Linked DNA regions of Mus musculus. The protein of the gene in region 1 interacts with the protein of each later gene in a biochemical or structural test. Links are inferred from orthologs where the notes say so. Each region holds a gene or a part of one and is shown on either strand. Other genes may lie near its edges.

Region 1 (5,738 bases):
GGGAGACAGAGAGGATGGAGCTGAGGTGGCCCAACTGTCTCAAAGTGAGGAGAAAGCAAGGCTCCACCCTTAGCAGTTGACCACACTGGAACTTGCAGGTGGGAGGAAGATTCCCTGGCCACAGTCAACTCCACAGTCCTGTAACCCCTCCCCCTCCACAGACAGCAAAGATGGCCACCGTTCATATGGTCCCACAACCCTCTATAAACTGACCTCTAAAAGCATGCCCTGCTCCACACATTAGAAACTGGTAGGGTCAGGCCACTCCAAGACCAGTTCCGAGGGAAACAACAGAAAGTGGAGAAGAGATCATCCCTAAAGGCCCATGATAAACATCCGAGAGGCCACCACACAGTGACATTCTGGATGCATTGCAGCATGAGAAAGCATCTTAAAGGTATCCTCAGAGCAGTCAGGTACAAAAGAACACTGCTCCAGTCCCATTTACATGAGGCATAAAAAGGAGGTTAGAGGGTCAGCCGATCTTGTTCGGATGTGATCCGGGAGGGGAAGACAGAGGTCCTTTGGCCTGGAGGGTGTGCATTCATCAGTGGTGCCAACCCCAACTCTTATGCTTGCCTGTACACATCTTAGGCTTTTTTCTAAAATACTCTGAATGTGCTCATTCAACTGTTAGAGTGCTTGCCGAGCATGTGTGAGACCCTGGTTTCAGCCCCAACACAGAGCAAAGCTGGTGTCATGACTCAAACTCTCCTCAGCCACATAGAGAGTTTGAGGCCAGCCTGGACTACATGAGACTCTGTCTTCACCTCCCTAAAAGAAATTTTTTAGAGAAATTACTTAAGCATTTTTTTTTCCTAATGCCAATAGTATTTGGATTTTTTTTTTCTTTTTAAAGTCAATGTTCTGTGTGGTATCTTGACTCCCAGGCAAGTCTGTGTTGTTCCCTCCCACTGGCCTGAATTTCTTGATGGAACAGCCTCAGGTCTTCTGTCCCTCCCTCTCCAATCCTCCCGGAAGCAGCTCCCTGCATGATGACCTGGCTTGGAGACTGCTGGGTCTGGGATGGGAAGCGCTCCCTTCTGGAGTGGGGCTGTATAACAGTGTTTGATTCTTCGGGCCAAAAAGGGAATAGAGGCTCTGCAGAGAGGGCGGGAAACTGCACACACTCATTCCAAAGCTACCCAGTGCAAATGAGGCCTGAACTAGCCAAGAAACAAGGTTGGGATGCTCTCACGGTGCCCAGGGCTCAGCCCAAACATAACTTCTGTGAGGGTCCACCACCTACATCTCTCAGAACTGCAGCATCCAAGAGAGACAGGGGTGAGCTGAGGACAATTGAGGGGCTCGCCAGCTCTTCTGCCTCCTCTTCTAAGGCTACAGAGAGGGGGAAAGTCATCTCAACAAGAAAGCCCCATCAGGCCAGTGACTGCTCCCTCAAGACGGCGGCCCCTAGCGCCACCTGAAGTTGTGCTTGTACCCCCTGTCATCCTCTAAGCCCCAGCGACTCTTTCCAGAATGTGTACTAAAGTCACACATCCTCTGAACATGTTACTGGGTTGGAATGCCTGGGAGTGCACACTGCCAGCCTTCAGGACCCACCTTTGCAAGGAGGAATTCAGGGGCAAAATCCTGGCACCAATAACACTGTGGTTATGGAGACATTCCTCAAAAAAAGGCCTTTGACACCTAATTTTCACTGCCTCCAAGTAAACCCCGTACTCTGAAACCTCCTGCTCTCTTGATTTGATTTCACAGCCCCAGGAACCACCATCTGGAGCCCCCAGAAGTGAATGCAGCCCTCTGTGCTCTTGGAACAGAAACTCCGAGAGCCCAGCTCTGCCTGAGCCGGAAGGGCCCCACCCATTACAGAGGAGCTATGGACCCCTTGTAAACTCTAAGGACCTGACCAGCCCAGATAATTCTGGCCCTCAACAGACTGGAGCCTGAAAAGCCAAGAGGCACATTTGGGCATGGCAGGGTGGCCAGCCAGCCTGGGGAGCAGGGTGTGTCCCCCCCCCACACCAGGAATCTGGGTCATGCTTAGACGGCAGAGAAACCTCAACTCTACCCACCCGCGCCTGCCTGCATCTCCCCAGATGCTAAGCATGTCCTCTTCCAGGTTTATGGGAAGCAAATGAGGACTTCATGGAATCAGGGGCACTGTGTGTGCAATCAGTCTCCGCAGAGGAAAAACGGCTTTTTGCCATTTTTCTCTGGGTCTTTCATGGAAGGGGGATTGCCTACCTGCCCAAGATGTCTATATGGAGGCTGACCCTCCTGGTGTTCCTACCCAGGTCCCCAGTGTATGAGAAGCTAAACCCAAGCCCACAAAAAGCCCTCCAAAGGGTCCCCACTTCTTTTCCTTCCTTCAGCCTTCCCTCATACTGAAACAACACACCTCAAATCTTCCCAGGCCATGGGCCTCACCAGATGGATGGCATTATGTTTCTTTACACCCCAAAAAATAACGCTGAAGGGGTTCTGATCTGTGACAGGAGAGAATGGAAGTTGCACACAGGGCTTCTGATGATGTGTCCCTCAAACCACTAAAAAAAAAAAAACCAGTCCCCAGATGCAGCTGGTGGCCCACCCAGAGCCACTAACTGAGGGATGGCTTCTCTACGGCCAGGCCACATGGTATCCTATACCCTAGGCCTGAGGATCCCACCTTGGGTGGAAGGCCAGGGTTGAGAGATCGGGGTACTATTCCGAAGGATTTGAGGGAGACATGTATGGGTTCTCTTACCCTGTAACCCAAATCGTCCAAGCACTGGCCCAGCTAGGGCTCCATCAGAAGTCAGACCCCATCAGAAGAGCCCCCATCAGTGTCCCCGCGCGACCCGACCCAGGATCCAGACCTTCGGTCTTCACAAGGAACCACTCACTCCCCCAGTCCCAAGCCTCCTAACTACTCGCAGGCTCACTCTGCAGCGGCAGCCCAGCAGGCCTGGAGGCTGCCTCCCTCAGCTACCGGGCCCCCATCTCCAGCCCCTATCCGCCGAGAAGCCCCCCAGCTCCCATCAGCCCCCAGGTCTCTTTCCCAGCCCCGCAGAGGAAAAAAGAGGAGGAGGAAAAGGAGGAGGAGGAGGAAGAAGAAGAGGAGGAAGAAGAGGAGGAGGGGAGGCGCAGCCGCTCGGGCTGGGGCAAAAGGATATGGCCATTCAGTGATCTTTTTGGCGTATTTTCTCACCACGTTGTCTTCACTGAAGAGGAACAGGGAGCGGTTGACCGTGAGGCAGTTCTGGCGGACAGGGATGGGGTTGTAGAGGGCCATGGTCCGCGCTCTCTGCGCCATCGACTGCTTGTACATCCTCTGCGCTCCGGGCTGCCCGCCCTGCCGGCTGCCCCCGGCTCCTCGGCCGCCCGCGGCGCCCACGACCACCCCGGCGGCCGGCCCTGAGCCTCCTCCGCCTGCGCCGTAGCGGCCCGGCATCTCGTCTCCAAAGCGGGCCATTCTGCAAAGAGCAAAGGGCCTCGGGTTACGCGGCGGCTGCTGTTGCTGCGGCGAGCGCTGCGGAAGCCACGGCCACCGCCACCACCACCACCACCACCGCCGCCGCTGCTCAGGCTGGCCGGGCTGTGGGGACGGCGGCTGCACCTGCGACTGCGGAGACGCTCCACGGCCCAGCCCATCGGGCGGCGGCGCCCGGCCTCAGCTCGGGGGGCTCACGAGCGGGACGGCCCGGCCGAGCCGGGGAGCGCGGCTCGGGACATGCCGGCAGAGGCGGTGACCCCGGGCGGGAGGAGGGGTGCGGGGGAGGGCGCGGGGGCGGGGCGCGGGGGAGGGGCGCGGCAAAAATAACCGGGGACGCGATCCAGGCGATCCCCGGCCACCCACTCCGGAGAAGAAGAAAAAAAATTTTTTTCAGTTAAAAAAAAATCAGTTAAAAAAAATAGTGTAAAAAGATCAGCTTTTTTTTTTTTTAAAGCAACGCTCCAATGCACACCCCCTTTAAAACGCGAAGTCTAAACGAAGGACGTCCCCCCTCCCTTGGACGCAGAGACTGGCTTCAAATTCCTCCGAGGTCCGGGTCAGCTTGGCATCTTGCTAAAGGCGTGGGCTCGGCCCATTAGTAAAAAAATAAAATAAAATAAAAAGAAAAGAATTAAATAACAAAAAAACAAAACCAGGTCTTTGCTATAGGAAGAGGGTGGCAGCGAAGGATTTGTCCGTCTGTTTTGCTGACTTTCCTAGACCTGGAAAGAATAGAAAATTCCTGAAAACGCTGCAGCCCCTCCCCCAAATTCAACCCGACTGGAGAGCAGAGGGCGGAGGAGCGGGGCGCAGGGGCGCGGCGGGGCTCGGAGGCTTCAGGGAGCCGCTGGTCCCCGGCTTTGAAAAAAAGCCGATCTGTTTTCCTCCTGATTCAGCAGCCGCCGGCTCCTCTGCGCGCGGAAGCGTGTGTGCGCGCAGCCAGGCGCGGCGCAGCCTCGGCCGGGGGGAAATTGCAGCAGCGCAGTCTTGAAAATTCCCCACGGGGGGAAGGAGGCGAGAGAGCGAGCGAACGAGCGAGGGAGGGCGGTGCGCGCCGCTCGGCAGAGGTTCGGGCTGCGGCAGAGCCTGGCAGCATCCCACCCCCGGGTGCCTCCCTCCCTTCCCCCCAGCTCCGCTGAAAGAAGAGGTGCGGGGTGCGAGGAGGGAGCTGCCCGGCCGGGAGCCGGGGCTAGATCGCGGCCCTGCGCCCTAGAGCAAGACCCACCCGGCGACACGCGCAACCAATCACCAGCGCGAGAGCAGGCGCGGCCAGGCGCGCAGGGGGAAGTCGGGACAGAGTCCTCCGGCACAAGGGACCTTGCTTGCCACCCGAGGTCCGCGTCGCTGCCTAGAACGAGGCGTGCCCAACAGGAAGGAAGAAACTTAAAAGACCAGAGGGTTTGGTCTGGAGACTTGGTGCGGGTGGCCGACGCTGAACAAATGTGGGTCTGTTGAGCAGAAGACAGTTTTTATGAGCTAGAAGAATGGTTTGGGGCACTTCTAGGAAGGCTGTGGGTCCCAGGGGGCCAATCCAAGCTAATGTATAGGAGATCCTGGTGGCAGCCCCCGTGTGAGCTCCCAGGAGCAGACCACTCACTGAGACCTAGGGTGTTAGGCGGGGGCTGCTGGCCTAGCTCGGTTTGGCCCCTGCTCTATAAGGCACTTGGATCACCCCACCTGCTTTTTTTTTTTTTCTTCCTATTTGGAAACTCCATGAACACAGAGAAAACTACATAAATCACAAATGAACAAGTTGAGGAATTGCTGCGAATGAACCCTCCTGGAAGCCAGCTCCCCAGAAACCCGCCTACAGGCCTACACGGGGGCCAGTGCCAGTATAACTTCTGCCTGAGCATTCTGCTAATTCTTTTAGCTTTATTTATGACCTTGGCATGCCTTCCTCGGCAGGAGTTATGCTTTGCTCCTTTTGATCTCATAATAAGCATCATTCTGCAGAACCTGTGGGTGACACATTTTCTTTGCTGTATAATACTCTATAAAGAAAAGTCTACAATTTGCTTGTCCACTTTCTTTTTTCTTTCTTTCTTTCTTTTTATTTTTAATGGGCATCTGGGTTCTTTCTTTTGGGGCCACAGTACGGCATTGCCTGAGACACCATATGCATGTGAACTTGCCTGCTTGTGGATTGAGGCTTTGTATGGGCAGTGTTTCAGGCTCTATACACGTAGTAGCTTCAGGATTATAGGATGTGAAACTTAACTTCTAAAGCAGATGTACCAAGAAATAGTTTGGGGAGCTAGAAAGGTGGCTTAGAAGGTAGAATGTAGGCTGTTCTTCC
Region 2 (4,975 bases), on another chromosome or scaffold:
GCATTATTTATATAGCTACAGTGATTCCATTTGGGGGTTGCTTTTAACAAGATCCACATTTAGGAAACACGTTTGAGGGATGGAAAGGGGCTGTTATGCACATTTTTGTATCCTGGCTAATGGTTGTGAGCTTCCTCAGACAATCGGAAGATTACCAAGTCTAGTTGAATTTAAGCTTTAGAGCCAGTGGAGTTGTTTAAGGTATAGTTACTATAAGTATAACTAACATACACACACACACACACACAGCTGACTATATTCAAATGTTGTACTGTATCGTGATTCAAACCTATCTGGCTCCTTGCAATCATCAGGTGACCCAAATCTGCATCTTCTAACTTAGTCGAATAAAAATGCTAGTTCTTTTCAAATGTCTGAAGCAATCCAAGTACTTTGTTTTGAGACAGAGCCTTGCCATGCAGGTCAAACCAATTGTGGTCTTTCTGTCCCTACTTCCCAAGTACTGTGATGCGATACATTAATGCTACTGTGGTTTACAAGCCCCTCTTCTTCTTCTTCTTCTTCTTCTTCTTCTTCTTCTTCTTCTTCTTCTTCTTCTTCTTGTTTGTTTGTTTGTTTGAAGGAAAATATATGAGCAAAGCATATGTTTTTCTGAAATATAAAAGTTGAGCTTGGTAGTGAATACCTGGTATCACAAAACTTGGGAAACTGAGGCAGAAGGATCATGACTTCAAGGTTATCCTGGGAAATGCAGAGAGTTTCAGCCTAGACTGCAGCCTCAAAAACTGATACGGTCTCAAAAATGGAGAACAGCAGCAAGTAGTCCTTCATAGAGTTTATGAGTCACTCGATGTAGTGGCTCATGCGTCAAATCTGAATTAGATTCTACTAAGGGGAAGACTTTGCATAGAAGCAAAAGCTTCTTATTTCTCAAAGAATCACTGACATTTAATGCACGATCTATGTTTAAAAAGTATGATTATGGGGGCTAGAGGGATGGCTCAGCAGTTAGGGGGCACTCGCTGTTCCTCCAGAAGACTAAACTCAGTTTTCAGCATCCATATTACGATCACCTGTAATCCTGCTCCAGGGGACCAGAGGATCGATCTCTCTGGCCTTCTCACCCACCCACATTCACGTGGCATACACACACAAATAAAGAGACAATCTTCTTTTAAAATATGAATTTAAGTAGACGAAATACATATCACTTTCACATTATTCAATACTAATGACCTGAAAGGCTCCATCCTGATGCTCCAGTAACCAGCTTTCAGGGTAGCTATTTAAGAAAATCTCTGCCAAGTTCTCATGAGATAATAGTCTACATTTGTTAGTAATAATGAACATATATCCAGTTTTTCCCCTAGCACATCAGAAGCAATTTAAAAAGAAATTTTTCTCAAGAAGGCCATTTGGAAAATAAGGCCAATTTTTCCTGCAGTCCGTTTCAGCAGAAGGATGTTGGGGTAGGTCCTCGATTTGTGCTTTAATTGATTTGCCACAGTTTTAAAGAAGCAGTTCTAGGCAGAACTACAGCAGAACAAGCTGACATTGTTTTAGTTCCAAGCCTCACATATCATTATAAAATAATGTAAAATCACATTTGATATTTTTTCTGAAGAAACGAAAAGGCAGCAATACAAATGGCACTGCCCCAGGACCCAGAATCCACAAGGCGCTCTAAGTCTCGGTCCAAATAGCTCAGAAACACCAGGGTTTTATTTCCTATGCACCAGCAATGAACTGGAGTGTAGGTTCATAGTCACTGCTGCAATGCTCAAAGCCCTTGGGCAATGGCCCTGTGCTGTAAGCAGTGGTGGAACTTGGGTAGAGAAGGAGGCCATATCACATAGTGGGTGATGAGCCCAGTACTTGGAAAATCTGTATACACAGTATAATAAGCAAATTACAGGCATAAGGGAGGCAAAGGCCCTTTTATTTACCTATCTCATCTTCTTCAAGAAAGGCAACAATCAGACAGGTTCTCAGAGGGGTGCTAAGGGAACCTTCTTTGTAAATTTGTTGCTGGTAAACAAAGCTGGGACAGTCATAGACTCTGGTGCTGGAGGCCCTTCATAAACACTCTTTACCACTAGACTGGAGTGTTTCAGCATTTTTGGAACTAGTGATGTTCCTTGTGTTTGGCTACTTGCTTGCTTTTGAGACAAGGTCTTCTGTAGTCTATGCTGGCCTTGAACTCCTGGTCCTCTTGACTCCACTCCCAGGTGCTGGATTTACAGATGTTCATCTCCCTCTCTCAGCTCCCAAAACTGTTATTATTTTTTCCATGGGCTCAGGGGAACATTTCCCAAAGTGGCTCACTTCTATGCACACACCAACTCATTGAGAACTTTATAGTCTCCCTCATGGGAAGATTTGTAAAGATGCTTTCCAACAAGTACCCAGAAAAGACAAGTTTAAGTTCTCTGCATGGCCATCATGGTAGCCACCATTTCTACTGAAAGGTGTGACTCTTCTGAGTCTACCAGTTGGCCACACAAGAATATCATTACCTTCCCTCTCTAAACATCTTCTTTCCTTCCATGTCAGCCATGTGTCGCCTACAACAGAAGCTTATTGGGATGTTTGGGGGAAGGAGATAGGTGGTTCCCCATGGTGCAACAGCAACTGGGTAGAGGGGCCTGAGGAGGTCGGCTCCCACCACACTAAGTGTCTAGAAGTGAGAGGGGGAGGAAGAAGAGTGAGGGAGGGAGGGAGGGAGGGAGGGAGAGAGGGAGGGAGAGAGGGAGGGAGAGAGGGAGGAGGAAGGGAGGGAGGGAGAGAGACAGGAAGAGAGGAGGAGGAAGAGAAAGGTAGGGAGGGAGAGACAGACAGGAAGAGGGGAGGAGGAAGAAGAAGGGAGGAAGGGAGAGACAGACAGAAAGACAGAGACAGAGAGACAGACAGAGACAGAGAGGGGGGAGAAGGAGGAGGGAGGGAGAGGGGAGAGAGACAGAGATGGAGGCAGAAAGAGGATGAGGAAGAAGGGAGGAAGAGAGGGAGGAGGGAGGGAGGGAGGGAGGGAGGGAGGGAGGGAGGGAGGGAGAAAAGGATTCTGGCTGCTGCAAGGACTCTGCCCCTGTCCTGTCCAACGGCTGGCTTTCTCCACAGATATTCAGTACTTCTCCAGGTAGGTCAGTGCCCAAGTAGGACAAGATATTCCCCACCCATACACCGAATGCCCATATGAAAACATCTTACCTAAGCTGGATCTGGTGTTGGAACGTTCAATTATTGCTCTCTTGCTAGGATTGTTGAGGACAGATCTCTTAGCAAGAGAAATGTCAGCTGTCACTCTTGTTATTGATATCCTAGGAAGAGGAACACAGAACAGGACAAGCCAGTAAAAATGTCATGTGGCTTTCTGAGTGACTCATAGCTGCAGTGCTTAGCAGATACTTCACATACTACCACAGAACCACCGTACAGTAAACGTCAGCCACAAGGATTTTAAACAGACTCTGGCTCGTATTAAAACAGAAACAATGAATGGCGGCAGGCTTTGGCTCTGTAGCTGAAAACCACTCCAGTGAAAATGGGCTCCCTCCATTATGGCCTGCCTGGCCAAGTTGCCTTTAAAGCACACAGCACACCAGGAGGGAATCAAAACATGAATTAGGCATGCTCTTTCTAGGAAATAGCTATACAGTTTCCTCAAAACTCACAGTTGATTTGCTCTTGAACAAGCCCTTCAGGATACACAACTGCTCTGCCCTAACACCGTTGGCTGAAAAGGGAAAGCTTCATTTGATCACAGAAAAAACAAAACAAACCCAACCAGTTGGTAACTAAGTTGTGTTTCTTGGCTCAGTAGTTAATCTCTAATATATGAAGTGTTTCTCCACAGACCCAAGAGGAGCTTTGTGGGTAGGATGTGAGAAATATGGTTTCCTTTCTGCAGGCATGGAAGCCTCAGTATAGGATCTGAGCACATCTGGTGTGCACTTGTGCACATCTGGTTGGCACTCATGACCCCAGTCGCTGAAGTCAATGTGAGCACTGGAGTTATGATAAGTTAGGACACACACACACCTTGCTGCCATGGAAGACTAAAGCAGAGACTTTGTATGGAGAGAGGGGAACAGCTGGACCACACATTATCAAATGATGGTTTGTAGATTTTATTGTTTTAAAATAATTTTTAACGGAGACCGCTCAGCTTCCAACTATTGTCTGTAGAATTCAAAGCTGGTCCACCTAGGACAATCAGAGAAATCCACAGACCTTCCCTACCCTCATCTGCACAGCATGGGTGAGTTCATAAAGGGAGGATCGCTTCCCTTGATCCTCTTAGCAGACTTATTCTTCTCCAGGGCTGAACTTCTTTGAACTTCATGAATTTAATTACACGTCCTCCCATTCCTCCTGTTTTTGGCCATTCTAAGTCTGGAGGCTCTGGTGACTAGAAGCCTTAGGGAGGACCAAAAATTGTCCTTTTCATAAAGGCTCGGGAACGAACAAACATTTTTTGAGGCAGAGTCTCTCAATATGTATCTAGATAACTTTGAGTTCCTAATCCTCCTGCCTCAGCCTCCTTTGTCCAGGAGCCATAGGTATCCACCACTGTGCTCAAGTTTTACAGCAATAGAATGTACAGAAGTTGTAGCGGGATACTGAAGCCAAGTGGTGCTGGCCTGGGTGGCTGCATCTATAAGCTGCAGGTGCTTGGAATACCACCGTGTTCTAACTTCTTGAACCTTTATGCCTTGATAATTATTTAAGGCAGCATCAAATTATCCCGTGTAGCAATAAAAGTTGTGAGGAGATTTCCTGGGACCGCTGTGAGCATCAACATGGGCAGAGCTTATACTTCTGAACTTCTCTCTCCTATGTCGAGCTCACTCATAATTTCATTGTTTTGTTAAAGAAAAAAAGGAAAAAAAGGCAAAAAAGAAAAGTTCAACTGAGCTGCATGACATCAGAAAACACTGGTGAGCAACTTCCACCTTCTCCTAAGAAGGAAACTGAGAACAGAGAGAATCTGCTCCATTCCAGGCAACGAGGATCTAGA

Evidence for each region.
Region 2: the proteins of Cacna1a (region 1) and Cacnb4 form a complex in vitro, tested with the Homo sapiens proteins (2 studies listed by BioGRID). The link is inferred for Mus musculus from reciprocal best matches to the Homo sapiens genes CACNA1A and CACNB4.

The regions. Positions count from the first base shown.
Region 1 is NC_000074.6:84,413,325-84,419,062, reverse strand, and holds the start of Cacna1a (voltage-dependent P/Q-type calcium channel subunit alpha-1A), read right to left. Parts: upstream 3,700-5,738; 5' UTR 3,420-3,699; coding exon of another isoform or gene 3,419-3,419; coding exon 3,120-3,418; intron 1-3,119.
Region 2 is NC_000068.7:52,452,435-52,457,409, forward strand, and holds part of Cacnb4 (voltage-dependent L-type calcium channel subunit beta-4), read right to left. Parts: intron 3,276-4,975; coding exon 3,166-3,275; intron 1-3,165. UniProt on the Homo sapiens protein: The beta subunit of voltage-dependent calcium channels contributes to the function of the calcium channel by increasing peak calcium current, shifting the voltage dependencies of activation and inactivation, modulating G protein inhibition and controlling the alpha-1 subunit membrane targeting.